Linked DNA regions of Notamacropus eugenii. The protein of the gene in region 3 binds, or shares a complex with, the protein of the main gene of each other region. Links are inferred from orthologs where the notes say so. Each region holds a gene or a part of one and is shown on either strand. Other genes may lie near its edges.

Region 1 (7,568 bases), on a different chromosome or scaffold from region 3:
TCCAACCCTTGCTTGCCAGCTTAGAAATTGCTTCCTTAATGAAGCCTTAATCTCCTCACAAAAAATGATCTCTGCATCCTCTCAACTGAGAGAATTTTGTCCCTATCTTGCGTCTGTATGTTTCAGTATAATTTATATTAAAATATTCATGGAACACTGGGTGGGCGTGTCTTGGAGGTAGACCGAGTTACTATCAACTTGAGAGTCAGATGTAACCCACATACTGAGACTTTGACCTCCTCCACCCTAGGAACACTGGAAAGAGGAGGTTTAAAATCTTTCCCCACTGTTCTCTAACATTCTGGAAGTTAGTTTCTTTATCACCCTACTTGCACGTTTTCCAGATGTGTAAATATAGAATTGTTCTGTGTTTCACTGCCTTCTTTCTTTGGAATGCAGAACACCTCTTACCTCTGCTAGACTAAACCCTCCAGGCAGGACCTGTCTTATTTATCTTTGTACCCAAAGCATCTAGGACAACGCCTTCCTTGGAGACCTAAGGTGCTTAATAAAATGTTTACTATTTGCCCCTGAAAAAACACTTGCTAAATTGAATTAAGGAGGCTAAGACTGGCCTCAATTGCCTGTTTGTGTATATTGCCTTTTACTCCTTATTCAGGGGGTTTGGTGAAAAAGTGTTAGGGAGGAATGCAGCTTGCTGCCACCTTCTTTCAATCCCACTGTCATCAGAAAGCATTTAAGACGTGCCTCTAGTGTTGCTTTTTTAAGATTATCCAACTAATTTTCTTTTGAAAACTGTATTTTCTGTACCCTGCCTCCCAGTCAGTCATAAATCAAACTGCTGAGAGTCAGGAAGGGAAAGAGGGGCCTGACTATGAGATCTACCAAAATGATAAGATCCCACCTATACTCTGGGGAAGGATGAGAGAAGGAGCCAACATATGTACCAAGCATGAAAAAGTGACTTGAAGACAGAAACTCTGGCTTCTTATCCCAACTGTGAGCCTGGGCAAATCACTTCATAACGTTTGTAACATGGGGATACCAATACTTGTCCTACCCTACCTCACAGGTTTCTGTTTTTTTTTTTTTACTTTCTGAACCTTTTAAGTGCTATAGAAAAAAATGACTAATTTCAGCACACTTTGTTCAGCTCTAAGACCAAGAGATCAAAGCAATAGGTTAAGCCTTTTAGTTTTTGCAAGCTCAAAGTTCATCAGCAAACTTTTATTATTTGCCACGGAGTACAACTTGTCATAAGGATTTTAAGCATTAAGAGTCAAATCCCAATTTAAATGACAATACTTTAATAAAGTATCTTTTTCACAGCAACACTAGAAACACCCCCCCCAGTCAATAATCACATTGGTTGTTTAAAATTTTCACTAACAGAAAACACTTTCATGATTCTGAAATGCAACAAATTCATGTAAGCTTTAACATATCGCTGTAAAGGACCACCATATACAAGTACAAATAAGACAGACATCATTTTGAGGAGCAGTTGAATCTTTGACAAAACAATTTTTAAACCTCAGATTTAATTTACCAATATTTAGCCACATCCACAAATACGCCTAACAATAGTTTGGTCTACAAAGACTGCCTTGCAGAGGCCAGAGTAAAAATTTTGATGAAATATTCAGATCATTACTTTACGGAGTAAAAGAACATTCAGGAATGTTTACAAGATTTGGCCATCTAGACGTTATCGCTCATGTTTTTATGACTGATTACACTAGAAATATGGATGGTTAACAGTGCTGTGAAAAACCTTGTCAAACAGGAAAAGTAACCCTAAATTCAGATGTACTGAAGTACAAGAGCATTCAATATCTGGATTTAATTTGTCTGGGTTTCAACTAACAATCATATTTCAGACATAAAATTTTTAAAAAAGAGAACAGTCTTGAATTATGAATTTGACTGTTTATGGAGAAAGGAGAAGGGGGGAAAAACAAGGGAGAGACAGTAAGAAGGGTGCCTCTTAAGTGTTACCAAAACTTACCAGACTTTATTTGTCCCCAAACCAGTCCAGGTTTTTGCTTTGAGGGAAACTGCCCAATGACTTGGGCAGGCAGTTTATATATAAAGATGATCCTGATAATACTATAACAGGTGTGTTCTGGTGAAGAAGCTGATTCCCCATGATATGGACCCCGAAAGAGGGCCTACGTACGCAGTTGTCAAAATAGTGTATGGCGAGCCCTCCTGCTGTAAACTTAGGCTAGGTCCACAGCAAGAAGGCGGTGTGAGCGAGTAGAAGGAGATGATCCGTGTGAAACCCTGCTTGGGTCACTTACTATCTGTCACTGCGACCTTGCGCAAGGCCCAATCTCTACCTCCATTTTCCTTATCTCTAAAATGGGGGATAACATGAGCTCAGTGTAAGCTCCCAGGATTAGGGAGCAGTTCACGGAAGCAAATGGCTTCCCAGCCACAAGGTTCTCCAGAAAAATCTCAACTGTGCTAATGGACGAACGGCGAAGTCTCCCTGCAGGCTGTCTTCCCCGAAATAAACCCCACCCAAATCGTAGTCGCCGGGTGCGAGGTAACCCCCTCCCAAAAGCGCGGCGGGGATAGGCTGACTCATGGTCCCAATGGTCTCCCTTTCGCTCCTCCCCCAAAGCCAAGCTCCGCAAGGCGACAGTCTGGTGTCCACTCTCTCCTCCCAGCCTCCATTGCCTGGGATAGTTCAGCTGTGGGGAAGTGGGAAGTGAGGGATGCACGGGGAAACTGGGAGCGACGCCGACTCCAGGGTGAGGTGGTTCCCTCGGAGGACAAGGAGAATGGGGAGAGGTCAAGGCCAGGGAGCGGCTCCCCACCCCACCCCCACCCTCGGAGGCCCGCCATTCAAGCTCCACACGCCTCGCCTCGAGGGCCTCGCCCGCCCTGGGGCCTTGGCTCTCGGACCACGCCCCGGCGGGGTCTCTGGGCCCCGCCAACAAAGCCAAAAGGAGCAGAACGGGACAAGACTCACCCCCGCAGCCGCCATGTCCGGGTGACTCCCTCCTCTCCAGCCCGGGCTTCCTGTACGGGGAGCCGAGAGGGACACGCCGGCTACTCTCTGGGCTAGGCCCCGCCCTCTGGTCCCCTTCCCCCCAGCCTCCCCACTTCCGCCCTGCCCTTTTCCTCCCCCATCCCGCGCTGGGCTGCTCAGAGCCCACGTGGTTAACCATTCAGCTCCAGTCCCGGAGTCAGGAAAGGAAGAGGAAGCCTGAGAGTGCTCTCCATTTCCCTCCATGCCACCTTCTCGGTCCTAGAGAAGGCAGCCTGGCAATGGGGCTTCCCTCGTTGGGCTCAAGGAGTGGGTGCCCTTATTGTTTGCCCGCTTCTGGGAGCCAGCCTTGAGCTTCGGTGCCAGGAGGGCGCTAAATGAGCCCTAGGCAGCTGGTTCCCATCGGCGCTGATAATGTTAAAGTTGGTCCCTGGCCTGCGCCGGTGGGGCTTCTGGCGGGGCGGGGCCTGGGGTGGGGCGGGGCCCGGGGAGGGGCGGACCTAGCGGAGCCGGCCGCCCTCCCACTCAGATGGGGTGGGACTCCCACCCTAGCTGGGCCTTCTTTTTTTGCTCCTAATGGTTCTTCTCCATCTATGCTCCTGAGCAGTCCTTAACTCCTTAAGGCCCTAACAATAAGCACCTGGCGTTTGTCCGCTGGCTTAAGAAATGCAGGTGGCATGGGATAGGATGGGATTTGTAGGCCCGAATTTGCTCGGCCTTTGTAGGAAAGAGAACGCATAAAAGGCTTGTTAGAGCTGCTAAAGAAAAGGTTGTGGCATTCCACACTATTATGCCTGAGGGCAGACTTGTTGTTAGGCGGAATGGTCCCGTCAATAAACCAAACCAAGGCAATTAGTCCATTCTGTTAAACTTGGGGGAAAGTAAAAGGGAAAGGGATCCAAATTCTGGGGTTATTAGAGACGGCTGTATTTAGTGCCTGGACAGCTGGGTCCAAATTCCACTTCTGATCCTTACTAGCTGTGTTACCAAGACCAAATCACTTACGTTGTCAGGGCTTTAGTCTCCTCGTCCAAAAAACATTGATAGTAAGAACTGCACTGCCTACCCCACGGAAGTGATGTGAGGACAGCACTTTTCAAACCTTGAAGTGCTAAATAAAACAAACAACAAAGGGAGTTATTATTAGGTGTGCGGTGAAAAGGAACGTAACGTTGACAGATAACTTAAAATGAGGGGCCCTGGGAGGTACTCAAACTACCTAGCCACGTACTTGGGGTTACAGTTTGGATTGGTTTCTGATTTTTGGAAAACCGATTACAATGGAAACTTACAATTAACCCCCTAAAACAAAAGATTTCTTGAATTTATGGAGGTGGAACGTTTCCTTCAAAAGCACGCAAGCTTCATTTTGGGGACACTTTGCTTTTGGAGAAAAAAGAACCAGGTGCTCTATTTTTTTGTTGTTTTCTTAATATTAGGGCGAGGGCGGCGGCAGCGGCGGCAGCGGCGCAACTACGGGGCTGTGAGCGGTGCGCCCAGAGGTACATACCCAATGAGCAGAACACACAGTGACGATACCGAGTCACGAAATTTTATCACACACGAAAGTTAACACTTTAATCTGTGATAGAAAACAATACAGCCAGTTACAACACAGAACTCATTTGAAGAGCAAAAAGGGAAAATCACCAACATTTAAAGCCTATATAATCTTAGTGAATAACTGTCAATACAGTACAAATACAAAATCAAGAATACTTTAAAGTTTTATCCAGGGGTTGAAATTTACTTTTTCCTAAAACCAAAGCGATAACATTTTCCTATCTCTGTAGCATCTACACCTTCTAGGATTCTGTTTCTTACTGTCTGGAGTATGGAATTGTGATGGTGTGTTGAGAAGAAATATACCTTGAGATCATAGAGAGATGGAAACTTTATGAAATGTATAAAGACATCATCAAGAAAGTGTATGATCCGAAGAGGATGCAAACTGGTCATGTGGTGAAAGTGGAATAACAGATGGACAGTTCGAGCGCTGCATTTGGACCAATGAAATGTCAGAAGCACTACAGGAAGGCTTCCAATGAATTGGATAGATCCAGGATGAAGGATTTATGAAAGGACTAGAATGCCACAGGAAGAGAAGGCATGGATGGGTTACAATTTGTACGGGTGGAAGGAAATGCTCATATTGATGAAATGGATCAAGAGAAGAATTAAAAAATGTATACATCCTAGCTACAAAAGTTAAAATTTCTGTTGGTTAAAGAAATCCGAAACTTTATGAAATGTTGTATTAGCCATGTTGAAAAGATAATACAAGCCAAGTCTCTCAGTTAGCAAAATCAGATGATTTGCTGTCTTCTTTTTTCATTCATAGCTGATGAGATAATGAAAGGAGATCGGTTTGAAATATCTGTAGTGTGAAAACAGACAAAGTAAGTTTGAAAACTGAGAATTCAAACTCTGTTGTTTTTTTCCCCGCGAAGTTTTTGTTAATAAAACTACTTTAAAAGCCACATATTGTGCAGTTAAAATGGACAATGACTCAAAAGAAAAACAGTCAATGAATCAAAATGATATTACACAAAAATCAGTTCTACTATATATGTATATGTACATCAGGGGTTCTTCACCTGGGCTCTGTGAACTTTTTTTTTGAAATGTTTTGATGACTGCATTTCAATATAATTGGTTTCTTTTGTAATCATATATTTAGTTCATTTAAAAGCATGATTCTGAGACTAGGTCCATAGGTTTCACCAGATTTATAAAGGGGTCCACGACACATAAAAGGTTAAGAACCCCTGATGTATATGTATTTATGCATATACATATTACATATATATAATAATCCTTAAACAAAAATGTCTACAAATCATGAAGTCTCCATGATCCTAGGTGCCACAGACAGATCAGTAGTGGTAAGAATAGTAATAGTAGCAGTGTGTAATCGTAATAGCAGATTTACCTGTTGTTAGAAACAGTCCTGATGAGAGACAAGTGTGGTTTGTATTGCTACAGAAATAGTGATAATGGTGTTCATTTGGAAGAGGCCATAAAGACCTTCTTAAGTTAGCAGGTTTCCCATAATGTACTCTTGGAGCTTTCTAAGATTGAATTGACTCTACAGGTTGAAATCCATTCTCAAGTGTGGTTTCTAACCCCTGAATAAACAATATTATTGTAGTCCACATCATACTTTATGTATGTAAAGTGTAAACCATACCACACAGGTGCCATACATTTTTACACACAAACATTATTTCTAAGCAGGTTCCCAATCTGAGCATGTCACTTATTTAATAAACTAGGCATGATAACAGGACTTCTCTTTCAAATACAGCATCATCGTCAAAAGTAAAATGTTTCTTAATACCACTGCATGTTCTCTCTCTCTCTCTCTCTCTCTCTCTCTCTCTCTCTCTCTCTCTCTCTCTCTCTCTCTCTCTCTCTCTCTCCCCCCCCGCCCCCCTCAAATCAGTTGAAATGCTTGGGCTTCTTAATAAGGAATCCTTAATGAATGCTAAGCCTATACAGCATAGCAGCTTTCACTGAGTTCCTTGGAGCAGTGACTAGGATTGAAATTTGGGTAAGAAAGATTTGTTTTCTAGTCACTGGTGATAAATTAATCCAAAGAATCAAAACATGGAAATGTCCAATTATTTGAAATATACTGAATACAGTTACAACACACACACACACACACACACTCACAAAAAATTTGTTTGACCTTAGGTGTGAGTAGGTAAACTAAAAAGATGACATTTGTGAGAAAAGTCTACAATAAAATTAGGTAACTTTATGGGCATTTCTAAATCAATAATAGTTCCTCAATGATTCTTCCTGCTCACATACTATAAATTTCCCTTACTGCATATATACTGGCATCAACACAAATTGCATAGTATTCAATAATATTCTTATAAGTGCAAACCATTCATTGTCATTCTTAGTCTGAGAATTCTACAAATTCAGGCTTATTTATTCCTACTTGGACTCATATTAATAAAAGCTATGAAAGTTTCTGGGAAATGATGAAATATAGTCAATGTCTTTATTATAGACAAATTTACTTTGCTATTAATGAGTTAGTTGATGAATCCATAATATCAGCCATTAAAATTTCAAATATAGCTTATTGTAACATTAACTTTTACTTTGGATGCTAGTATGAAAAGTTAATATTCTATTGAAATATTTTTTATTCCAATATAGGTATAAATAAAGAGGATTTGAGTCTTAGACTAGAAATACTGGCTGAATTAATGAAATAGTTATTACAGGAGGTTCAGACTAAGAAATTGGTAGCATGTGACTATTAATTTTCCTAGAGAATTTAAACTATATGTAATATTTTAGATGAAAAATGTCTTATCAAATTTTTTAAATGGGGAAAAAACCCTTCAGATTCCTATGAGAACTACTTAAAAGTTTAATCTTCATGAGAAAGTAGAAGGGAAATGAAAATTAGGCAATGCATACACTTTTTATTATGTGATATTTGGCACTAAAATTCTTACTGTCTTTTGTGGCAATTGACAAAATATTTCTGTATTTTTTTCCATAACATTTCAGTTTGTAGTGGAGATGGAAAGGGAATTTTTTCTAGAAGGGAGGGATCTTGTCTCCTGTAATCATCAATATT
Region 2 (7,489 bases), on a different chromosome or scaffold from region 3:
TTCTCCCCATCTCTCCCCACACCCCACTCCAGGACAGCATGCACCCCATCCACCCCTTCCTCCAGTCTGTCCTCTCTTTCACCACCCAGCCTTCTTCCATCCCCCTTCCCCCTCTATCTTCCTGTAGGGCAAAACAGATTTCTATCCTTCATTACCTGTATATCTTAATTTCCAGTTGCTTGCTAAAACAACTTTTAACATTCATTACCAAGGCTTTGAGTTCCATATTCTCTCCCTTCCTCCCCACCCACCCCCATTGGGAAAACAAGCAATTCAATATAGGTCATACATGTGTAGCAATGCAAAGCACTTCCATAACAGTCATGTTGTAAAAGATTAACCACATTTCCCTCTGTCCTCAATCTATTCCATTCTCTCCTCTGACCTGACCTCCTACAATAGTACTTGCTTCTGATTATCCCCTTCCCCAATTTGCTGTCCCTTCTATTATCTTCCCTCTCCTATCCCCTTTGCCCTTGTCTTTCTGCAGGGTAAAATAGATTTCCATATCCAGTTGAATGTGTGTTATTCCTCCTTAAGCCAAATCCCATGAGAGCAAGGCTCACTTATTTCCTTTCATCTCCCCCTCTTCCCCTCCATTGTAAAAGTTCCTTCTTCCCTTTTCCATGTGAGATGATTCACTGCATTCTACCTCTTCCTTTCTCCTACTCCCAGTACATTCCATTCAACAGTAAATTTTATTTTTTTATGTATTCTTCCTTCACATTAAGCTCAACCCGTGCCCTCTGTCTAGATATACATACACATATATACACACATACATACATACACCCATGTACATACGTACATACACCCATACATACACCCATATACATATATAATATACACATCCATACATACCCATACACACCTACATACATATATTCCCTCTAACTACCCTAATACAGAGAAAGGTCTCATGAGTTACAAATAACATCTTTCCATGTAGGAATGTAAACACTTCAACTTTAAGGAGTTCCTTAAGGCTTCTCTTTCCTGTTTACCTTTTCATGTTTCTTTTGATTCTTGTATTGGAAAATCAAATTTTCTATTCAGCTCTGGTCTTTTCAACAAGAATGCTTGGAAGTCTCCCATTTCATTGAAATTCCATTTTTTCTCCTGAAGTATTATACTCAGTTTTGCTAGGTAGGTGATTCTTGGTTTTAATCTTATCTCTTTTGATCTCTGGAATATCATATTCCAAGCCCTTCAATCCCTTAGTGTAGAAGCTGCTAAATCTTGTGTTATCCTGATTGTATTTCTACAGTACTTGAATTGTTTCTTTCTGGCAGCTTATAATATTTTCTCCTTGACCTGGGAACTCTGGAATTTGGCTCCAATATTCCTTGGAGTTTTCCTTTTGAGATGTCTTTCAGGAGCTGATTGGTGAATTCTTTCCATTTCTATTTTACCCTCTGGTTCTAGAATATTGGGACAGTTTTCCTTGATAATTTCTTGGAAGATGATGCCTCAGCTCTTTTTTTGATCATGATTTTCAGGTAGACCAATAATTTTTCAATTATCTCTTCTGGATCTGTTTTCCAGGTCAGTTGTTTTTCCAGTGAGATATTTTACATTGTCTTCTATTTTTTCATTCTTCTGGTTTTGCTTTATAATTTCTTGGTTTCTCATAAAGTCATTACCTTCCATCTGCTGCATTCTAATTTTTAAAGAACTATTTTCTTCAGTGAGCTTTTGAACCTCCTTTTCCATTTGGCCAGTTCTGCTTTTTAAATCATTCTTCTCCTCACTGGCTTTTAGGACCTCTTTTTGCCCTTTGGGTTAGTCTATTTTTAAAGGTGTTATTTTCTTCAGTATTTTTTTTGGGTCTCCTTTACCAAGATGTTGACTCACTCTTCACGATTTTCTTGCATCACTATCATTTCTCTTCACAATTTTTCCTCCACCTCTCTTACTTGATTTTCAAAATTCTTTTTGAGCTCTTTCATGGCCTGAGATCATTGCATATTTTGGTGGGAGATTTTGAATATAGACACCTTGACTTTTATGTCTTCCTCTGATGGTATGCGTTGTTCTTCCTCATCCAAAAGGATGGAAGAAAATACCTTTTCACCAAGAAAGTAATCTTCTATAGTCTTATTTTTTTCCCTTTTTTGGGCTTTTTCCCAGCAGGTACTTCACTTTTGAGTCCTTTGTCAAGTGGAGGGTATATTCTAAGGACCTGTATGTTCTCAGTTCCTCCAAGGTAGCACAATCAAGGGAGAGAAGTTTACTCCTATCCTGGCATGCACTCTGGTCTGTGAGCAACCACAAGCACTCTTTTCTGCCCTGGAACTGTGAGTAGCATTTTCTCTCCACAGCCACCACCAGCTCCACCTCATTAGTACTCTACCTCACCCCAGGACCGCCACTCAGGGCTGAGATTCAGATCAGCTGCTCGATTCCTTCAGGATCTTTAGGTCTAGGGTTCCAAAAGTGGATGCTGTTGTTGCCCTGGGGCTGGGGCTGGAGCAGGACCATGTTCCCCTCTCACCCAGGTGAAAGAGCTTCCTTACTGACCTTTGAACCTGTCTTTGGCATTTGTAGGTTAAGAAATCTGGGAACCTCAACTGCTACCCATGATTCTGCTCCCTGAAGCTTTTTCCAGTCCTATCCAGGCTCTGCTGCATGCCCCAGGCTGGGCTGCGCTCTGCTCCACCCAGTGCAATAGACCTTTCCTGAAGGCTTTCCAGGCTATCTTGGGCTGGAAATCTGTTTCACTCTGTCATTTTGTGGCTTCTGCTGCTCTAGAATTCATTTAGAGTAATTTTTTACAGATATTTTATGGGCTATGAGGGGAGAGCTAAAGGAGGTATATCCTTCTACTCTGCTATCTTGACTCCACCCCCCTTTCCTAGCAGTTTTTGTCAAATAATGAATTTTTGTTTCAAAAGTTTGGATCTTTGGGTTTATCATATATTAGATTACTATGGTCAGTTATTATAATGTAATTTCTATCTAATTTATTCCACTGATTCATACCAGATTGTTTTGATAATTATTGCTTTGCAATACATTTTGAGATCTGGTACAGCTAGACTTTTTTTTACAAAAAAATATTTTATTTTATTGATATTATTTTATTGATTCCCTTGATATTTTTGAGCTTATGCTTTCCCAGATGAATTTTATTATTTTTTTCTAGTTCTATGAAATAATTTTTGATAGTTTGATTGCCATGGCGCTGAATAAATAAATTTATTTAGAATTGTCATTTTTTTATATTAGCTCAGCCTACTCATGAGCAATTAATATTTTTCCAATTGTTTAGATCTGACTTTATGTGTGTGAAAAGTGTTTTATAGTTGTGTTCATATAATTCCTGGGTTTATCCTGGCAGGTAGACACCCAAGTATTTTATATTGTCCACAGCTATTTTAAATGGAATTTCTCTTTCTATCTCTTGATGCTGAACTTTGTGTGTAATATAATAGAAATGCTGATGATTTATGTGGATTTATTTTGTATCCTGCAACTTTGCTTAAGGTTGTTAATAATTTCAAATAGTTTATTTAGTTGATTTTCTATGCATGCCATCATATCATCTGCAAAGAGGGATAGTTTTGTTTCCTCATTGCCTATTCTAATTCCTTCAGTTCCTTTTTCTTTTCTTATTGCTATAGTTAGCATTTCTATCTAGTATGATAATCATTTAATATCACTTTTGGACCTCAGAGAATACTTCTTCTATGTCAACAAGGTCAGATGGAGTTGACTTAAGAGCATTCTTTCCTCTTTTTAAGGATGAGACCCTCAATCTGAGACACTATCTTGAATAATGAGACTTCTCCTGTATCCTAATATTTTGTGGACATATACTGCTTATGGCATCTTAATGGTAGAGAAAACACAGATATCCAGGATCATAATTGCAAATGAAACTTTGTCAGCTCTCTTATCTGATGGTATTTACCACCTATTCAATTCAGAAAATTCCTTTCTCATAACATGGTTAAACTTATATGGAGGTCATAAATTTGAGTCACACAGACATGCTGAGTTGGGATTGCTCTAAAACTTCTTTCAGCCTGGTCATTCTTGTACGGGACAGTCAGAACTCCAGCTCTGGCTCCTTGTTGGCACAGGTGAAGCTAGCTTCAGCTAGGTTTAAGGGAATAAACAATGTGGACCGACATACCACCTGCCTCTTTGCCCTCCTTCAACCAAACTTTCAGGTTGACAAATGTTAAATAACAGAGGTGACAATGGGCATCTTTGCTTCACCCCCATAGTATTGGGAAGGCTTCATCCCTGTTTTCTGGAGGAGGAAAGTGTCTGACTGAACTAGGTTAAAGTCACGCGGCTAGCCAACATCTGAGGCAGTGTCGCCGCCGTGGCCCCCCGCAGCTCTGCAGCGCACACTAGGACTACTCCACCGGGACCTTCCTTTAGCAGCAGAAGCCCAAGCAGAAGGGAAGAAAAGGCCAGAAAGACTACAACTCCCAGACGCCCTAGCGGGGCTCCCTGTGTCGAGGACTACAGCTCCCAGAGGCCGCAGTCGGGCCCGCCCCCCGGCTCCCAGGGGCCTGAGCTCGCGCGCTCTCGTCCCGGGCCCGCCCCGGGCGCAGCGGGGACCTGGTCGCTGGCGGGCGGAGCTCTGTGTCCTTGCGTGGCCGCAGAGCAGCGAAGCTCGGCGACCATGGCTGTCCGCCTGTGGCCCGTGTTCGGGTGAGCGCGCGCGCCCGTTTCTCGAGTCACGCGGGGCGGGGGAGAGGGAGGGGGTACCCCACCTCCATCGCCCAGGAGCTGGGCCGGAGCCTGGACGCAGGGCCGGGCAGGGCCGGGCCGGGAGGACCGTTGTAGGCCTAGTGACAGCCGGGGCTGGGGGCGGGAGGAAGGGCGAGACCCCGGAGAAGTGGGTCCTTCCCCCGAGCCTCGTCGCCCTGGTGCGGAGGCCAGCGTGGGCCTGTGCCCCGGGCACGTCGCCGTGTTCGCCAGTCAGCTGTAGCATGGGGGTGCTGGGAGCCCCGGCCGCGGTCGGGGCTGGGTGCGAGACGGCATCGCCCGCCTGAAAGCCCTGCCGCGGGACCCGGGGGGCCTCGTGCCCGCTGGGCTGGAGTCCGGTCCGGGGCTGGAGAAGCGCCAGTCAGCGCTTAGGTGTTGATCGTAAAAAGAAAGACGACCCGAGACGGCTAAATGAGCTTGCGTAAAGTGCTCTGCGGTCCGTAAAGCTCTGGAAGTGACGACCCGGACCGGACGCTCCCCTCGTCTTCCCCCTTCCCCCCAGATTCCGGGTCTCTGCCCCGCAGGGAGCCGCAATGGGCACTGCCGGAATTAGACTCCAGCCCCTCTGGGGGAGGGCAGGAGCCGCTTGTCCTCCGCGAGCCTGAAGGGAGAGGACGGCCATGGGGGTGAGGGGCGGGCAGAGAAGAAACCCAAAGTGATGCCGCCCCTGCCAGGCCCGGGCGGAAAGGAGCTGGAAGGTCTGACCAGCCCCCTGGTTTGCTTGGTTTTCACATGGGGAAACTGAGGCCTGGCGTTAGGACCCGGCCCCTGGGCCACAGGAGGAATCTGCGGTAAACTGATACAGGGATCTAGGTTAGAGTCTCGGTGTTGTGAGCATCCCACCAAGCGTTTCTTCTCTCGCCATTCCCCCAGGTTTTTCATTAAGGCCGGCTTGGCCGGTGGGTCCGTGTACTTCGTTTACGATCAGGGGCTGCTGGGGTCCAGTCACCAGGGTCAGGCTGCCCTGCGGAGGGCGCAGCAGGCCATCCCAGGCGCCTTCACCCATTACTCTGACTTACTTTCGAAGCACATGGGATTCCGGTTGGAGGTACCACGAGGGGTGGGGGGGAAGGTTAGGGGTGGAGATTGGTCCAGAACTTCATGGGCAGAAGGCAGAGGAGATGAGCTTTTAGGAAAAGGGAAAGTGTCTGCCCTTCCTGGGACAAAGTAATAACATTTCTGGTCAGTGGGATGGGGTGGGGGGGCAGGGTGAGGACAGGCTGGTCTGAACTACCTGGGCACTCTCACCTGACCTTCATGAAGCCCTTGGTGATTGAAGGCATTCATTTTGTGACTCCAGCTCTGACTGGGCCAGGTTTCGGGCTCATTTTGGTTATCTGATGAAGTCCTGGATCCAGGCTCAGAGCAAGCCTCTGACTTTGAGCCCTGTTTTGTTGCATCCTGTAGGCCCCCCACTGTCCTCCCCAGCAGAGCAGGGAGGTGGGCATCTGATGTTGGAGCAGGTGATTGATGCTCCTTTTCCTCTTTTTTCAGCTCCCACCCACTCCATATTTCAACATTAACCTTCGAGACTACTGGAACTCAGGTAGGACCATGGGCTCTATTACGCAGAGTCTGCAGCAGTAGCCCTTCTGCTGAGGAGGAATGCTGCTGTCCAGACACTTCCCTGCTCTCTGGACCACCAGGCCTAGCCCCCCACCTTTGGCCTCTTCCCCATCCCTCCACCCCAGGAGCTCCCTGCATTGGCAGGATCAGAGGGCAGAGGGACAGATGACTAGCCATGGGACTAACCCTGAGGGGTGGGCTCCTCACACAGAGTAGGGGGCATTTGAGCCACTCTCCAAACACCCACACTTGTAGCATGTCAGAGCCAGAAGGAACCTCAGAGATCATTTAGTCCAGTGCCACCTCATTTTATAGATTGGGAACATGAGGCCCAGAAGGGGAAGGGACTTACTCAAAATTCCCTTGTATGTCACTGGCAAATGCTTGCTGTTTGGCTGGTTGACTCAACAGAGTCCTGACCGTTAACCTGGAATTCTGTATTCTGTAGAATGGGCCTCAGTGAGGAAAGTCGTTGTGACTATTTATTAAGTGTCGGTTGTGGAGTCAAACACGGGCCAAGTGACAAGCATTTATTAAGTGTCTACTATATGTTGGGCATTGGGGATACAGAGACAAGATGAAGCAGTCCTTGCTCTGAAAAGAAGTTTATGTTCTGTCAGGGGAAACAGCACCCATAAGACATACGTATACAAAGCATACAAAGTTAGTGGACGATCACTGGGGGAGAGGGAGAAGGAATTAGGAAAGGCCTCTGGAGCTGGCTCTTGAGCTGAGCTTGGAAGGGAGCCAGGGACCCAAAGAGGTGGAGGGGAAAGGGCTGGCAGCTCAGGGGTCAAGGACAGCTTAAGCAAAGGCACAGAGGTGAGAGATGGGATTCTGGGTTTGAGGAATAGCAAGAAGGTGAGTTTGGCTGGAATGCTGAGTGTGTGAAGGCGGCTTATGGATAGTAAGCCTGAAAAGAGGCGTTGGAAGCTGATTGTGAAGGCTTCACATGCCACACGGAGATTACACCTTATTTTAGAGGCTGAAGGGAACTAAAGGAAATAGAAGCTCTTATCTGATGCCCTCGGGGCCTAACTAATTGACACCAGGTTGGTGGGAAGGGGGAAGGAAGAGATCTGAATTACAGAAAGTTTTGAAAAAAATCTGGCTGCTAGGAAAATCAGTTGAAGGAACTGGGCACAGCTAGCCTGGAAAAAAGAAAATTTGGGGAGGGAAAACAACAATCTTTAAGTAT
Region 3 (7,867 bases):
TAGTTATTGGGATTACACACACACACACACACACACATACACACACACACATCAGACAGAGAGCACAGAGTGAACTGAATAGGATGGGATCATATCTTAAAAAAATGAAATTAAGGGGTGAGAGAGAAATATATTGGGAGGAGAAAGGGAGAAATGGTATGGGACAAATTATCTCTCATAAAAGAGGCAAGCAAAAGACTTTTCAGTGGAGGGAAAAAGAGGGGAGGTGAAAGAAAAACATGAAGTTTACTCTCATCACATTCGACTAAAGGAAGGAATAAAATGCACACTCATTTTGGTATGAAAACCTATCTTACAATACAGGAAAGTGGGGGAGAAGGGGTTAAGCAGGGTGGGGGGGATGATGGAAGGGAGGGCAATGGGAGAAGGGAGCAATCTGAAGTCAACACTTGGGGAGGGACAGGATCCAAAGAGAGAATAGAAGCAATGTGGGGCAGGACAGGATGGAGGAAAATATAGTTAGTCTCACAGAACACAAGTCATTTGCAAAACTACACAGATATGGCCTATATTCAATTGCTTGCCTTCCAAAGGGAATGGGTGGGGAGAGAGGGATGAAGAGAAGTTGGAACTCAAAAGTTTTAGGAACAACTGTTGAGTATTGTTCTTGCATACAACTAGGAAATAAGAAATACAGGCAATGGGGTATAGAAAGTTACCTGGCCCTACAGGACAAAAGACAAGATGGAGACAAGGGCAGAGAGAGATGATAGATGAGAGGGCAGATTAGTGATAGGGGAATTAGAATGCTTGGTGTTCTGGGGTGGGGGGAGGGGACAAATGGGGAGAAAATTTGGAACCCAAAATTTTGTGAAAATGAATGTTAAAAGTTAAATAAATTAATTTTTTTAAAAAAGTTGAACTAAACAGGCATGAACAGAGAGCTGTTATTCTAAAAATAATCTGGAGGTCTTAGTGAACTGAAAGTTCAATAAGAGTGAGCTGTGGTGTGTCAACCAAAAAAGCTAATAGGCTCCTGGGACCTAGCTTCCAAATATAAGGAGATGTTAGTTTCACTATATTCTGCTCTCATTAAACACCATCTGGAGTACTGTGTTCATTTTGCAAGCACAATATTTAAACAAGATATTGATAAACTGTGGTGTCTAAGGGAGGGGAACCAGGATGGTGAAGAGACTTGAGTCCATGGCATATAAGGATTAACTGAAGGACCAGTCACATTTAGCCTAGAGAAGAGAGGTATGTGATAGCTGTCTTTAAGTATTTAAAGGGCTGTTGTGTAAAGAAGGAATTAGATACCTTCTATTTGAACCTGGAGGACCAAACCAGGAGCAATAGGTGGAATCTGCAAAGAAATAAATTTAGGCTTATTAACTATAAAAACTTCCTAACTGGACATTCCTAAAACATCCAAAAGAGGAATGACCTCCCTAGAGATGTGGCAGGGTTCCTCTCCTTGGGAATCTTCAAACCAGTTGGATGACCAGTATATCAGATGTTATAGTGGGATTGTGTGTATAAAGCTGTGTATAATTTCAACTAAATGGCTGCTGAGGTCGCTTCCTTCTCTCACAATCTACGATTTCATAGTTCTGGTTCACTTAGTATGGCAACACATTCAAAGAATAAAGCTTATAATTATCCAACTACTTATATAACTTATTTTCTGGTAATCATTTATTAAAAGATAACACTTTAATAAATCTGGCTGGTTCTGCAACAACAGAACAAATAAGGGTGTGTTTACATGTATAGCTATTATTACAACATTCTTTAAACATAATTTCATTTGTTAGTTTTAGACATCCTACTTCCAAAAACAAGTGTGATGGATAATGGGTGAAGTTAACAAGACTATACCCACCCTAAGGGACTGGTACACCATTTACCTTCATACAGGAATAATACAAATCCCATTCTAACATTTATCTGAAGCTGATTCAATATTTTTTACACAAATTTAATGTTTCGTTTATTTTTAACATCCTTTTTGTAAAATTATGAGTTCTAAATTTTCTCCCTTCTTCCCCTTCCCCACCTACTGAGGTAAGAAATGTGAGATCAGCTATAACCAAGAACATGCTTCCACAACAAGCTGATTCAGTCTTACGCTACACTAACAGACACTTGCTCATTACACACCAACTAACTCCCTGGGCTTCTTAGAGTGATTATAAAAAGGTGAGGGAGGGAGGGAGGGGAGAGGTTGAACGAGCTGGTGCCAGGTGAGAAAAAGGGCAGGGGAATAGGAATCCGAGCAGATCTGCCACCTGTGGAGCTTAGACAAGTCACTTCTCTAAAGAAGGACCGGTTTTCTCCTCTAAATAAGACAGAAAGGAAAGTAAAAGGAAGCAACACGAGAGAGCTGGCCCGACAGGATGGGAGGATCTCCAGGGTCCTTTCCAGCTCCAGAGTTCTCTGACTATAAGGAGGTAGGAAAAACCAGACCCCTCCAACCCGCAAAGACACGGGCACAAAGTGGCGCGGGGAAGGGAGGCACGTGGTGCCAGGGACCCTGGTGACCCGGAGGAGCTGGGGCAGGGCGGGAAGCCTGCAGAGGCCCAGCCTGGCAGTCAAGGTCCCGGGCTGGGAGCCTCTCGGAGAGGGCACGCAGGGCTCTGGCTGCTCCGCCAGGCCCAGGAGAAGTGAGAGGCAGGAGGGGTCTCCGACCAGCCATTTCCCCTCGCTGAGCCTCAGTTTCCTTATCTGTTAAGTGCGGTGACTTGGGATCTAAAGATCCTTCCAGACCAAACTCTTGAAGTCCGCAGCCCCTTCCGGGGATCCTCGGCCACTCTGACGTGGGCTGGTCTCGGGCCTCGCTCCAGAGACACAGGCCCGGGAACCCGACCCCGCCGCCCCCTCACTCACCCGGATGCCCTTCACCACCGTGATGTTCTCGTTCTCGTCCGTCTCGAAGGTGACCCGCCGGGTGCTGGACGTCCCGCCCATGGCTCCGGCTCGCACTGTGGCCCTGCAGCAGCCGAGCGGCCCCGATTCCCGTCCAGTACGCACGCACCCCCACCGCCGGGAGCAGAGGCCGCCCCGGGTCCCCCTTGCCCTTGCTCCTTCTCCGCGGGTGAGACACGGGCCACCCCAGGGACAGCGGCAAGGAGACAGCGCCGGGCTCTCCCCTCAGGATCCTTCCGGTCATGCTCAGTAGCGAATAGATGTTCTATTGGTCCGCGGGGCCAAAGACCCGCCTCAGCTCCTTGCAGGGGCCCGGATAATTGGCCACGGATCCGGATGCTATGGCAACTCGTCAGAAATGAAAAGTTTCCGGAACCCATGGGTGTGATGGGATTTGTAGTTTGGCGAAGAATGGTGGGTATTCAGGCCTCTTTCCACTTAAACGAGAGAAGAACCAAGTGGGGCACGGAATTCTGGGATTTGTAGTCTTACAGAGCCAGAAATTAACAGACACCTGCAAGAACAGCTCCTTAGCCTTAAAGAGCTGCAGATACAATAACCCCGCTTATTTTACATTTATTTTTGTTGTCGTTATTCACTCGTTTCAGTCATGACTGATTCTCCCCCCATGTGGAGTTTTCTTGGCAAAGATACTGGATTTCCTTCTCCAGCTCATTTAACAGGAGAGGAAACTGAGGCAAACTGGGTTAAGTGACTTGCCCAGGGTCACACAGCTTGTAAGTGTCTGAGGCTGGATTTGAACTGATCTCCCTCACTCTGGGCCCGCCACTCTATCCACTGTTGCCCTTATTTACCGTAATTTCATATACTCTGCCATCCTTTCCTCCTCTGTACTTTCATTCATTCAGTTCATTCGTTGGTTCAGCAAGCATTCTTAGGCCCTTATCAATCAAGGGGATGATTCTCTGGATTAGCAGGTGAAGAGCAGGGGGTGGGAGGGACCTAAGCATTTCTGTGGCAGCTACTGTGCTAAAAACTTTTACAAATATTATCTCAATATTCTCACAGCAACCTTGGGAGACAAATGCTATTACACTCCTTTTACAGCTGAGAAAACTGAGGCAGAGGTTAATACACTACCACAGCAGCTCCTTTGCTCTTTAGAACAACCTACTATGTGCTAGGCTGGCGTCTGGGGACTCAAAACCCAGAAAGGAACAGTTACAGGCCTCACAGGCCTCGAAAAATTTGCATCATATTGGAAAGTACAATATATAGACAGATAAGTGCATACAAAATATGCAAACTAATTGTGATTGGGTGGCATAGTAGGGCGTTGACAACTGGGGAGTTCTGTTCAGTTGTACACAGGGCACTGTTCTAGGCAACGGAGAAACCAAGACCAAAAAAAAAAACCAGTTCCCACTCTTAAATAGTTTACATTCTGTTGCAGGAGATGGATATAGCAGCTCTATAAAGTCTGCATAAAATTTTAGAAAGTGACTTCAAGAAGGCTGTGAGGTCGTAGGAATGGATACCTAAGCTGTGCTTTGTACAGAAGCTGGGAATTCTAAAAGGCAGATTGAAGAGGTAGAGCATTCCTGATAGAGGAAACCATCTGTATAAAGGCAGGGCAGGTGGGAGGTGCAAGGTCTACTACAAGAGATAGCTAACCAGTCAGCTTGATGGAAATAGTGCAAAAAGAGGAAGGATATGAAACCACTAGCATGTTTAGATGGGATCCAGATTACATAAAACTGTAAATGTTACATGTGACTTAAGGAAGAACATAATTGTATTTCATACAGTAATAAGTAATTACCTCATTGTAATGTAAGCTTATGGCTTTTTATTCTTTGTATTTGTGTCTCCAGCACCTAGCATAGTGCCATATTGGTTGGTTGGTTGCTGTCCTTGGTTGCTGAAAGTACCCAAAAGGACATCACTATGCTAAGTCAAGCTTCAATCTGTCCAACTAGAGCTGATCAGACCAATATGGACTCAGGTGCTTAATAAATACGTGGTGTTTGACCGATGGAGATTGTTGAAGGATGACATGGTCAAGTAAAAAAATTTTAAGAATGTGGGAGATCAGGGCAGCTAGGTGGCAAGATGGATAGAGCACAGGCCCTGAAGTCAGAAGGAACTGAGTTCAAATCCACCCTCAGACACTTACTAGCTGTGTGACCCTGGGCAAGTCACTTAAACCCAGTTGCCTCAAAAAAAAAAAAAAAAAGAATGTTCCAGCCTTGGTACTTTTGTGTGGAAAAGAAAAGGAGCCGATGGATATGGACAAATTAAAATGAAGGGATGAGAAGGAATGAATGGGAAGGCAAGGTATCATAGGGAAAGAAAAGAAACAAGTAATTCCATATCACCCACTATGCTAAGCATTTTACAAATGTTATCTCATTTGATCTTCACAAGGTAGGTGCTTTTATTATGCCCCCTCTTTTGCAGTTGAGGAAACTCAAGCAGAGGTTAAGTGATTTACCCAGGGTCACACAGCTAGTGTCAGAGGTTAGATTTTAATTCAGGTCTTCCTGACTCCAGGCACAGTCCTTTATCCACTTTGCTGCCTAGTAGGCAATTAGAAGGAATAGGATTAGAAACACAAATGGAGAAGTTGGCTTTGGCATCAAAGACCAGAACGTAGAAAATGGTGTATCAAGGATGTATCAATCAACCAGCAATGATTTATTAAGTCCCTATATGTGCCAAGCACTTTGGAAGAAGCAGAGGAAAAAAGGATGGGCTCCATTTTTTTTCTAGTAAAATAGGAGGTGAAACCTGCTAAGAAAGAGATGAGAGGAGGTATGGGAGGTGGAAGGAAGCTGTGTGGAACAACTGGTATAGAGAAAGTGATCAGTCAGGGAATAATAAAATGATTGTGAGGCCACAGTAATGGAACAGTTGAGATTACTTATCCTGCATTTGTAGTGAACCCAATCAGGTTGGTTGTATGTGTTTTTTTTTTTTTTTCAGGAATATACAGAAGCACATGAGTAGAAGAGAAGCTAGATGGTGGGGGTGATCCAAAGTTGACACTTTTCAAGGCATACCTAGTGATAAGAGGGTAAGGAATCCAAGAATAACTGCCTGAAATGGTCAACTGGGGGATCTATACTGAAGATAGAGAAGTGAGGCTGGGTAGGAATAGGATGGTGAGACTGAAGGACATGAGGAAAGCAAAGAATAGTTTTATGAGGGGTGGGGCAGGGAAAGAGATTGAAGGAAAAGAAGGGGTTAGAGACAGGAATTTCAGAGTTCTGGATCACAGAGGTGGAACCGTCATGGGTGACCATCAGATCAAGCACAAGACTATCCCTATATATGAATGCAATGGAATGAAAGTGAAAAATAGGAGAATTTAGGAGACTAATTAACTGGGAGGCGGGTGGTTAGGAAGAAAGTGAACAAATCCAGGATGAGGGGAATTTGTTAATAACATACAATACTGTGGAAGTCACAGGATCTGACTATGGATCCCATCTCACTGCCTATGTGACCTTGGGCCCCAAACAACCTCCCTAGGTCTTAATTTTCCCATCTGTGAAATAAGGAGCTTGGATTAGAAAGTTTGTAGGATCTCTTCTAGCTAAATGAAGGTGATCTATGAGTAGAGCCAGGATTCTAAAGTTTGCTATGGAACAGAAGGGTGGAAGAGGATGTGGACTGTGGAAGGATAGAGCTAAGTGGGAAATGAATGAGAGGAGAAAGAGAGAAAGGATGGAATGAGAGGAGCTTTGCTTCAGCAGATGCTGACTGTAAATCATAGGAAATAAGAGAAAAGTAAACTGGAAATTTTGTCAGCTCGAACATAAAGAATGATCAATGGAGAGGGGCAACCAGACCGCTAGACTCTAGTTAGGCGATGCAATGGAAAGAGCACTGGGCTTGGAGTCAGGAAGACGAGTTCAAATCCAACCTCCGACACTTACTAGCTTTGTAACCTTAGGCAAGTCACTTAACCTCTGTTTGCCTCAGTTTCCTCAACAGTAAAGTGGGGATAATAATAGCACCTACTTTCCAGGATTGTTCTGAGGACCAAATGAGAGAATAATTATGAAGCACTTAGCACACGCCTGCACAATTATTGTTGTTATTGTTGAATGATTATTTATTAGCTAAGTCTTAGAGAGGTGCCTGAGGTTCAGAGAGAATAAGTGACTTCTCCATTATAAGCCCAAATCTGTAAGTGTTAGAGGTGGGATTTCAACCTAGGTCTTTCTGAACCCCAGTCCAGCATTATGCCATGCTACCAGCCCCCTACCTGGTACTTCAGCTTATTTGTGGTCATATCATCCCATCCCATCCCATCCTCCTCCCTGACAAGATTGTAAACATTTCCTTGAATCTTATTGCTAAAAAAAGAGTGTCCCCATGGATGAAATCATGATTCGATGAAAATATTTCAGTATCTTTGAATTGGGCAGCTCATTGTATACAATCACATTTTCCCAGACCCTTTATTTTTTTTACTTTTTGTTTTACTGATGCTTTTTTTTTTTGCATTGCTGTCTAATCACCTTCCCTTAAACTATTCGTAATAACAAAGAATTACAACAAGGCAAAACCCAGAAACACATTGGCAAATATCTTTCAGTATTCTGCACCATATTCTACTGTCTCTCTGCAAAAGAGAGGTATGTTTGATCATTATTCTTCTGGAACTAAGATTGATAATTGCATGTATCTGAGTTCTGATTCCTTTTAGCACAGGTCATTCATCCATATATCAAACTTATTAAATTTCATTAGCATGACATCCGAGATCATCCACAATCTGACAACCCTCTACTTTTCTTTTCTTGCCTGATATCACTCCCCTCCACAAACTCTACATTCCAGACAAATGAGGCAATTCTCTGTGTTTCCAACATGTCCTGTACTTTCATACTTCCAGGATGGATGTGAAGTTCTCAAGAATGGCATTCTGAGAGAATAAAGAGAAACAGATCTGATGAGGATGGAAAGGAAAAGCTGTCAAAAAATATCAATGTGGTTACACAAAGAA
Region 4 (7,516 bases), on a different chromosome or scaffold from region 3:
AATTCATTTCCGTTTTTTGGAATCCCACTGCTTAGGCTCAGCAGACACAATGTTTGTGGACTGCCTGATTTCTCCACTGATGTTGTACTCTCAAGTTCTCTAGGTTGTCAAAGACTGTGCGGTCCTACCATGCTGGCAAGTCTTCAGGTCTGGTCTCAGTAATTGGCCCAGAGGTTCATTTTTCATAAGCAGATTAAGTAGCTAAGAGGCTCCAGAACCAGACTCATGATTCTTTTCCTTTAAGTGATTCCCAAAGTTACACTGTGACCTGGGTTCACCCAATGATATTATGGCTCCTTTGAGTGTTTTTATCAATGTGAACTACAATTCAAATTTATATGGAACTATAAATTTATGCCCCATTCTTTTCACAACAACTTTCATGAGGTAAGTAGTCAGAATCCATTGTCCATAGGCTCAGGGAGGTTAAAAGTGACTAGCTCAGTCCACAGACCCAATACAGAGAAGCAGGATTTTAACTCAAATATCTTTGTACATTTCACATTCAGCATGCCCCAAATTGGACTTGAAGTCTTTCCCTGAAAGCATCACCCTCCCCAACTTCCCGTTTTTCTAGAGCACCATTCTTCCAGTCATTTAGGTTCCCAACCTAGGCCTTCTCCTTGACTCAGAGGGGCTAAGTCTTGCCCCTTCTCCTCCATATCTCACAACTCTTATCCTCTCTCTTCACACAGCTCACACTTCACACTAGTTCACCCATATGGCTTCTCTCCTGGAAGACTTAAGAGTCCCAATCGGTTTCCCTGTATCAGTTCTCCTATTTTCCAATCCATTCTCCATGCAGAGTTGCCAATGTAATTTTCCTCAAGTACCGGCCTAACCATGTCACTACTCAAAACTTCAATGGCTCCCCAATAAACATAATTTAATGTTTAGCTTTTAAATACCTTCACAACCTGGCCTCAACCTATCTTTCTAACCGTATCATACATTATTCCACTTCCCAAACTCTCCCATCTCTGTGCTGGCTTTACCACCATACCTCCAATACACTTCTACCTCACCTCTTAGGATCCCTTGTTTCCAACTTCAGCTATACCTATTACACAAAGTCTTTCCTAATCTCCTCACCTTCTACTACTCTGCTCCTCCCTCTCCCCAATTTTGCTTTGCTTTGTGTATACCTATTTAGGTATGTTCTGCCAGGTAAAATGTAACCACCTTAAGAGGGGCTGTTTGACTTCTCTGGATCGTTTATTGGAGAGATGTGTCGAGATTCCAAAGGTTCCCAAACTTTATCTGCCTTACTGTTCCCTTTAAAAAAAAAAATTACTCAGCACCCCCCTAGAAATCTACTTTCTTTAACCCTTTAATGGTTTTCTTTAAAAAAAAAAACCACATCATTTTGAAAAACTATAAATTCTTTTTAAAAAAAGCATCATAAATTTAATAATTTATTGTAAACTTATGGTTTTTTCCTGCATTGAAATTCTGATAACACAATATTGCATTATGTAACTGTATACTATCATACTGTAAACAAGTCACTACCTGCATATATTCCTGCCAATGCGTTCCAGGCTTCCCTCACTGCCAACACTTACTTGTTAAGACCTGTCTGAAGACTTGATCACTGATCGGTTATAATTTGCATTTTACGTGTTTATTTAGAACACAATATAATTACTACAACTTTAACTATATTACACAAGAGATGAAAATTGAAAGGATTTTCAAATTTTTCTTCTCTTCTTTCCTTCGGCTTCTCTGGCTCCCTTATTTTTATTCAGTCCCTCTCCCCCATGGATCCAGCACCCCCAAGGGGCAGCATTGCCCACTTTGGGAACCTAAATTAAATAAGTGCTTAACTGATCCCACAAAGGGGTGAAATACCTCTAGGGTATATATGCCTAGTATATAATAGCTTAGCATAGAAGAATAAGAGTCCTTTCAGGACGGGCTGTTTTTCCTGTGGTCTCTGTCTTCCCTAGCACAGGTACATACAAATAACTCAGGGTTAGTGCTTAATTAACGCTTGTGGCCTTGGAGTAGCCATGAACGTTTCAATTTCAGAAGCTTTTACTCCAGACAGTGACTCAGTACCATGATGGCACTTCAGGGAGACGTGAGTTTCAGGTGTATTTTACATACATACACATACAGTTTTACATAAACATACACTATGCATGTACACGTGTATACGATATACACGTATAAATAAATATGCAGACGTATACAAACACGTGCACGCACACGCACATTTCTCTGTGTCTCTCCTGCTCAGACTAGAGAACCAAGGGCTAAACTTGCAGTCAGTAGGGCCAGCTTTTCCAACCCCGGTGTCAGTTTGTTCACTTTATAAATCCAATCAGCCCTTGCTGAACGCCTAATTGGTTCCAGCACTGGGGATAACAAAGCGAATTAACCTCAACCTTGAGGAGCTTACAATTCCAAAGGAGGGGAAATTTGTAAATATCCAGGTGTATACAAAGTAGCCGTAACAGCCAGGCACTAATGTAACCGCAACAGCTTGCATTTCTCTAGCACTTTTAAGATCTGCAGTGTTCGCACATGCATGATCAGCACAACCACGCCGAGGGATGGGTGCTATTGATTATCACCACACTAAAGTTCAATCGATCAGGGTCAACAAGCCATTCAGCGTGGGAGGCTGGCTGTGAGCTCCAGGCAGGAGGCTCCAAGCACCAAGCCGGCTAGAGTAAATACCCTGATTGGAGGGAGGGAGGGAGGGAGGGAGGGAGGGTCTAGGAAAGAGAACACTTGATCAGTATCTTAAAAGGAAACCAGGGAATCCAAGGAGGGGCTGTGATGAGCAGGGAGGGCATGACAGGCAGGGGGCACGGCCAGGGCACAGGTGGAGAGGCAGGAGGAACCGGGAGATGGGTGAGGAGTTGCTGCAAAGGCAGGTCGGGGGCTGGTTATCAGGAGCCTAACCAGAGCCCCCTCCCTCGACGGATTGTTTCGAGGCCCAAAAGAAGTAGTAGGGGCAAAGCGCTTGGCCCTCCTCCAGGCGCCGGCTCTCGACACTCCACGAGTCAGGCGTGCGCACGTGGGGGGAGGGGACTTGGGCGCTTCGAGCGCGGTCCGCCGGCCCTGGCAGCACCCGGCGCTGGGCCCCGGCGCTGGGCCCCGGGCCCTGGCAGCACCCGGAGCTGGGCCCCGGCAGCCCGCAGCGGGGGCGCAGGGAGCGACAGCTGCTCACCTTGAACATGTTGCTGGCTGCGGCGGCGGATCCGGCTTGGGGGGGGTCACCTCGGTTTAGCCCCGCCCACCGCGGAAAGGCTTTCTACGGCGGCCCGGTCAGGACAGCCTTATCCGAAGAGCGACGCGTGCGCGGAACACCTCCGGCGACCCGTAGTACAAACTTTATTGACACCTTCCGGAGCTGAGTCGTCAGAGCTACCGAGGGGGAGGGGCCTCCCGGGATTGCTAGGCAGCGGGGACAACGCGCGCACGCGCGGTAGCCGAGGCTGCTGGCAGCCCGGCCGCAGAGGCTTGAGGGGGCTGCGGGAGGGCCGGGGCACTTGCCGTCAACGTTGGTCCCCTCTGCGCCCCGGCACGAGGGGCAGATGCGGAGGCTGACGGACACACGTGGAAGAAGCTGCTCCTCGGGCTGACCCCGCGAACGCCGCCGCTTTTGTCCCCCGCCATCGTCGTCAGTTACCACCACCGAGCCTTTTTTTTGTTGATGCCCCTGGACCTGTTTTCATTATGAAATAAAAACTTGGAGCCCGTCATCTCCCACCTCCGAGCCCTTGCTTCCCTCCTCCCCGAAGCGCAAGCTCGAGGCTGCCTTCATCCATCCCCGCGCTGCCCATGAGTCTCCAGATCCGGGGACCGGACTTTGGAAAGAAGGAAAGAAAAAAAAGAGAAAAAGAAAAAAATCCCCCAATCCGGCCAAGGCGAGATCCCTCCGGTTCCGGTCGCGGCTGGCCGTGAGGATCGAGGCAGAGGGGCCCGTGGGAGGCCCCTTCCGAGTGCGGCCAGGAAGTGAGAGGTAAAGCCTGGGGGGGTCCGGAAATGTCCCCCCGATCGGGAGCTGCCCGGTGGGAGGAAGGAAGGAAGAGCCGGGTTCGAATCCAGCCTCAGACACCGGGCTGCGTGTGACCCTGAGCAAGTCACTTCACCTCCGTTTGGCCCAGTTTGCTCGTCTGGATAACGGATGATAATTGTCAGCCACATTGTAGCAAACACTAGGTTACATGGTGGCCGTTCTTAGCTTCACTGTCATTATGGCAGACACAGGCTCAGAGGGTCCTGGAAGGCCCGGAGCTCGGTGCTTCTTTATCCCTATTTTACAAACGAGGAAACTGAGGCTGGTGACTTAGGGGTGTCCAGTGGGAAGGAGGGGCTGGCTTGTTTTACTTTACTTCCCGGAGAACTGGAAGCTGTCATAGGGAAAGAAGGTCCAGAGAGGTCCGAGTTAGCTGGCGGGGGTCTGGGAGGTCCTCCGGGCCAGCCCCTTTGTCTTACAGGTGGGCTAACCAGGGCCCGCTTAAGTGGGCTGACTTGGCCAAAGTCCCATGGAATAAAGTGGCAGAGCTGGGCTATATATATAAGGGAATAATAATGTAGGTGGTGCCATGAATGGGAGGGCTGGGTTTGGAGCCAGGAATACCTGAATTTAAATCCTGCCTCAAACAGGTAATAATTGTGTCACCACGGCCAAGTCTCAGCCTCTCCCAGCTGGAGTTTGTTCACCTTAAGTTGGGGATTATAGTAGCACCTGCCTTCGGGGTTGTTGTGAGAATCAAGGTATTTGTGAAAAGCTTCTCAAACTTAAAGCTCTCTATAAATACTAGTTATTCTTCTTAGTAATAACAATGTAACAAAAACCTATTAACCAGTCCAAGCAGGCGTTCATAACATTTCCTGTTGTCCTGGACCCCGTCTTGGCGGTCTGGCCAAGCTTGTGGACCCTTCCCAGAATGTTTTAAAATACATAGGATAACCAAAGAAACCAGTCATCTTGCCATAGAAATATTTTTTTAAAAAAATAAGTTCCTAGGCCTCCGTGTTTAGAAGTGTCCTAAAGTACAATGAGTTGTTTCCAGAGCTGGCTAAGGCAGGAGGATGAGCATTTTCAGATATGTTGTTGGGATTTTCTGAAGGTATAGGTTTGGATAGCTTCTGAAGTGCAGATGCTGAAGTTCCATGATTCTGTGAAAACGAGAAATGGAAATTCATATTAATCCGTTAATATTTAGGGTGCAAGTTTTTCAGAGTTTGCTGGATTGTACCTGTAACCTCTGGTTCTAGGTCTCTTCACACGGTGATCTCCTCCGCTCTCATGGTTTCTGTTATCACCTCTTTGCATTTGAATCTCAGCTGTGCAAGTATTTTTTTTCTTGACAGATAAGTAAACGGAGACTCCAAGAAGTTAAATGACTTTTCCATAGTCATACAGCTATTAAATATGGTCAAACTTGATCATACCACTAGAAGTGCTTCCTCCTGGAATACAGACCGAGAATTTTTGACTCTTAAATATGAGGCTTTTTCCACCATGCCATGTCTTAGTCATAGAATGTCAGGGCTGGAAAGGCTCTTAAACCTCATTAATCTAAGCCCTTCATTTTACCAATAAAGAACAGATAGCATAAATGAGTTGTCCAAGGTCACCCAGCTAGTTAAAAATTAAGCAGGGATTATAGAATCTGGTTCCTCTATTTCCTAATCCAGTTATCTTATTAATAACACAGTTTGCTATTATATGAAATTCTATAAACTTAATAGCATCCTAAAAAAAATCTTTGCTTTACATTTTAAGGGTTTTGAAATTAGCATTATAATCAATATTTCACACAAGCTATCTTCACTAGGTTTCAAACAATGTAATATTATGGAAATTATGTTAATTTTCTTTGCTTTCAGATTTCTTCATTGTGAAAAATGTCTTCAAGTTCATCAGAGCTGGATGGAGACTTAGAAGATGCAGAATTAGGAACTGAATTTCAGGAAGTAAAATTGTCAGATGCTTTGCCACTAGATGACCTTAAAGCGTAAGTACTCAATTGTTGAATATGTATAAATTTTGGCATTTGTACCAGTTTCTTTGTGTCATTATCCAAGATGTTTTAAGATCTCTTGTTTATGGATCATACATTTGTTTTTTAATTAATTTTGAACTAATTTGAACTCCAGCTGTTGTGTCCATATCCATGAGGCTTAAAATAATACCTTGCATTTTTCTCATACACAGTAAGATTATGCAGCTTGATTCACATATTTACCAGGTACCTTCTACATAAAGGACACTGTACTAAGGGAGATTAAAAAAATAAATTGTATACTTCCTGATCACATACTGGGAACATGACTCATGACATCAGGACGTACACAAATAACATAGTCTGTCAGTCACGTTTATTACAATTGAGGCAAGAACCAGGACACAAAGGATGCCATATTAGTCCTTCCCCTCAAGAAACTCACATTGTAATGGAGGAGATAGCTTACGATGGGAATATACAAGATTTATATGGAGTAGATGAAAGGTAATTTCAGAGGGGAGGCAGTAACTGGAGTGAGTTAAGTGGAGGGATGTAATCAATGAAGGCCTCTTGCCAGAGGTGAGATTCAAACTGAGTCTTGAAGGAAGCCAGGGAAATAAGAGGCAGTGACGAGGGGGAAAAGTGCCCAGCACGTGTGCAGACCGCCAGGGCAAAGGCACTGAGACGGTGATGGAGGGCAGATGGACCACAAAGTCTGGATCGCGGGGAGGAAGAGTGTAAGGAGATGCTAAATGATAACAGAGGCCTTTATGTTTGATCCTGGAGATGACAGAGAGTAGCTAGAGCCTACACAGTAGTGGAGGGACATGGTCAAAACTGCTTTGAGAGGAACTGCTTTGGCAGCTGAGGAGAGGATGGATTGGAGTGGGAGAAGACTTTAGGCGGGGAGATCAGCTAGATGGCTTTTGCAATAGACTGGGCAAGAGGTAATGAGAGCCTGAGCCAGGGAGATGGCTATGTGAGGAGAAAGAATGGGATATGATATATAAAAGAAGCATTATGATGGCAGAAAGGATAAGATAGGGCAATGGATTGTTTATTTGGGGTGAGAGATAAGAGCCATTCCTTTGACACTTTGGTGTGCAGTTTAATGTTACAGCTCAGATGTAAACCTAGGTAAAGAACTTGCAGAGCTTAGACCAAGGGACCAGTGGTCAGACTCTGAGAGCACTGAAAGAAAAAAGAAAACTGAAATCTTGAGCTTTCCAGGCTGATCTCTCCCTGAGAGACTGGAATAACACGACATTCAGTCCCTCCCCCCCCAAAAAATAGCAGCAGCACCAAAGCAAACTTTCCTTCCTATCCAGAAGTGAGCCTAAAACCAACAAAGTCTGGAGTCAGAAATTAGGCTAAAATAGTAAACAAGTGAAAAAAAAAAAAAAAAGAACGTCACCAAAAAACTTCTGGCAGCAGGGACACTCAAGACCCAAACCCAAAAGAAGAAAATGTCTCCAAAACTTCTGCAAGCAAAGCCTCCAATAAAAATAACAGCTTGGGCACAAGTATTCAGCTAGAATTCT

What was found.
Region 1: CHCHD3 (region 3) and APOOL share a complex: the UniProt entries of both Homo sapiens proteins name them as parts of the mitochondrial contact site and cristae organizing system (MICOS) complex. The link is inferred for Notamacropus eugenii from reciprocal best matches to the Homo sapiens genes CHCHD3 and APOOL.
Region 2: CHCHD3 (region 3) and MICOS13 share a complex: the UniProt entries of both Homo sapiens proteins name them as parts of the mitochondrial contact site and cristae organizing system (MICOS) complex. The link is inferred for Notamacropus eugenii from reciprocal best matches to the Homo sapiens genes CHCHD3 and MICOS13.
Region 4: CHCHD3 (region 3) and APOO share a complex: the UniProt entries of both Homo sapiens proteins name them as parts of the mitochondrial contact site and cristae organizing system (MICOS) complex. The link is inferred for Notamacropus eugenii from reciprocal best matches to the Homo sapiens genes CHCHD3 and APOO.

The regions. Positions count from the first base shown.
Region 1 is NC_092879.1:79,746,713-79,754,280, reverse strand, and holds the start of APOOL (MICOS complex subunit MIC27), read right to left. Parts: upstream 3,059-7,568; 5' UTR 2,957-3,058; coding exon 2,942-2,956; intron 1-2,941. UniProt on the Homo sapiens protein: Component of the MICOS complex, a large protein complex of the mitochondrial inner membrane that plays crucial roles in the maintenance of crista junctions, inner membrane architecture, and formation of contact sites to the outer membrane.
Region 2 is NC_092875.1:73,701,512-73,709,000, reverse strand, and holds the start of MICOS13 (MICOS complex subunit MIC13), read left to right. Parts: upstream 1-4,351; 5' UTR 4,352-4,639; coding exon 4,640-4,668; intron 4,669-5,598; coding exon 5,599-5,773; intron 5,774-6,219; coding exon 6,220-6,271; intron 6,272-7,489. UniProt on the Homo sapiens protein: Component of the MICOS complex, a large protein complex of the mitochondrial inner membrane that plays crucial roles in the maintenance of crista junctions, inner membrane architecture, and formation of contact sites to the outer membrane.
Region 3 is NC_092874.1:116,872,869-116,880,735, reverse strand, and holds the start of CHCHD3 (MICOS complex subunit MIC19), read right to left. Parts: upstream 3,157-7,867; 5' UTR 2,932-3,156; coding exon 2,851-2,931; intron 1-2,850. UniProt on the Homo sapiens protein: Component of the MICOS complex, a large protein complex of the mitochondrial inner membrane that plays crucial roles in the maintenance of crista junctions, inner membrane architecture, and formation of contact sites to the outer membrane.
Region 4 is NC_092876.1:453,112,438-453,119,953, reverse strand, and holds the start of APOO (MICOS complex subunit MIC26), read right to left. Parts: upstream 3,259-7,516; 5' UTR 3,194-3,258; coding exon of another isoform or gene 3,185-3,193; intron 1-3,184. UniProt on the Homo sapiens protein: Component of the MICOS complex, a large protein complex of the mitochondrial inner membrane that plays crucial roles in the maintenance of crista junctions, inner membrane architecture, and formation of contact sites to the outer membrane.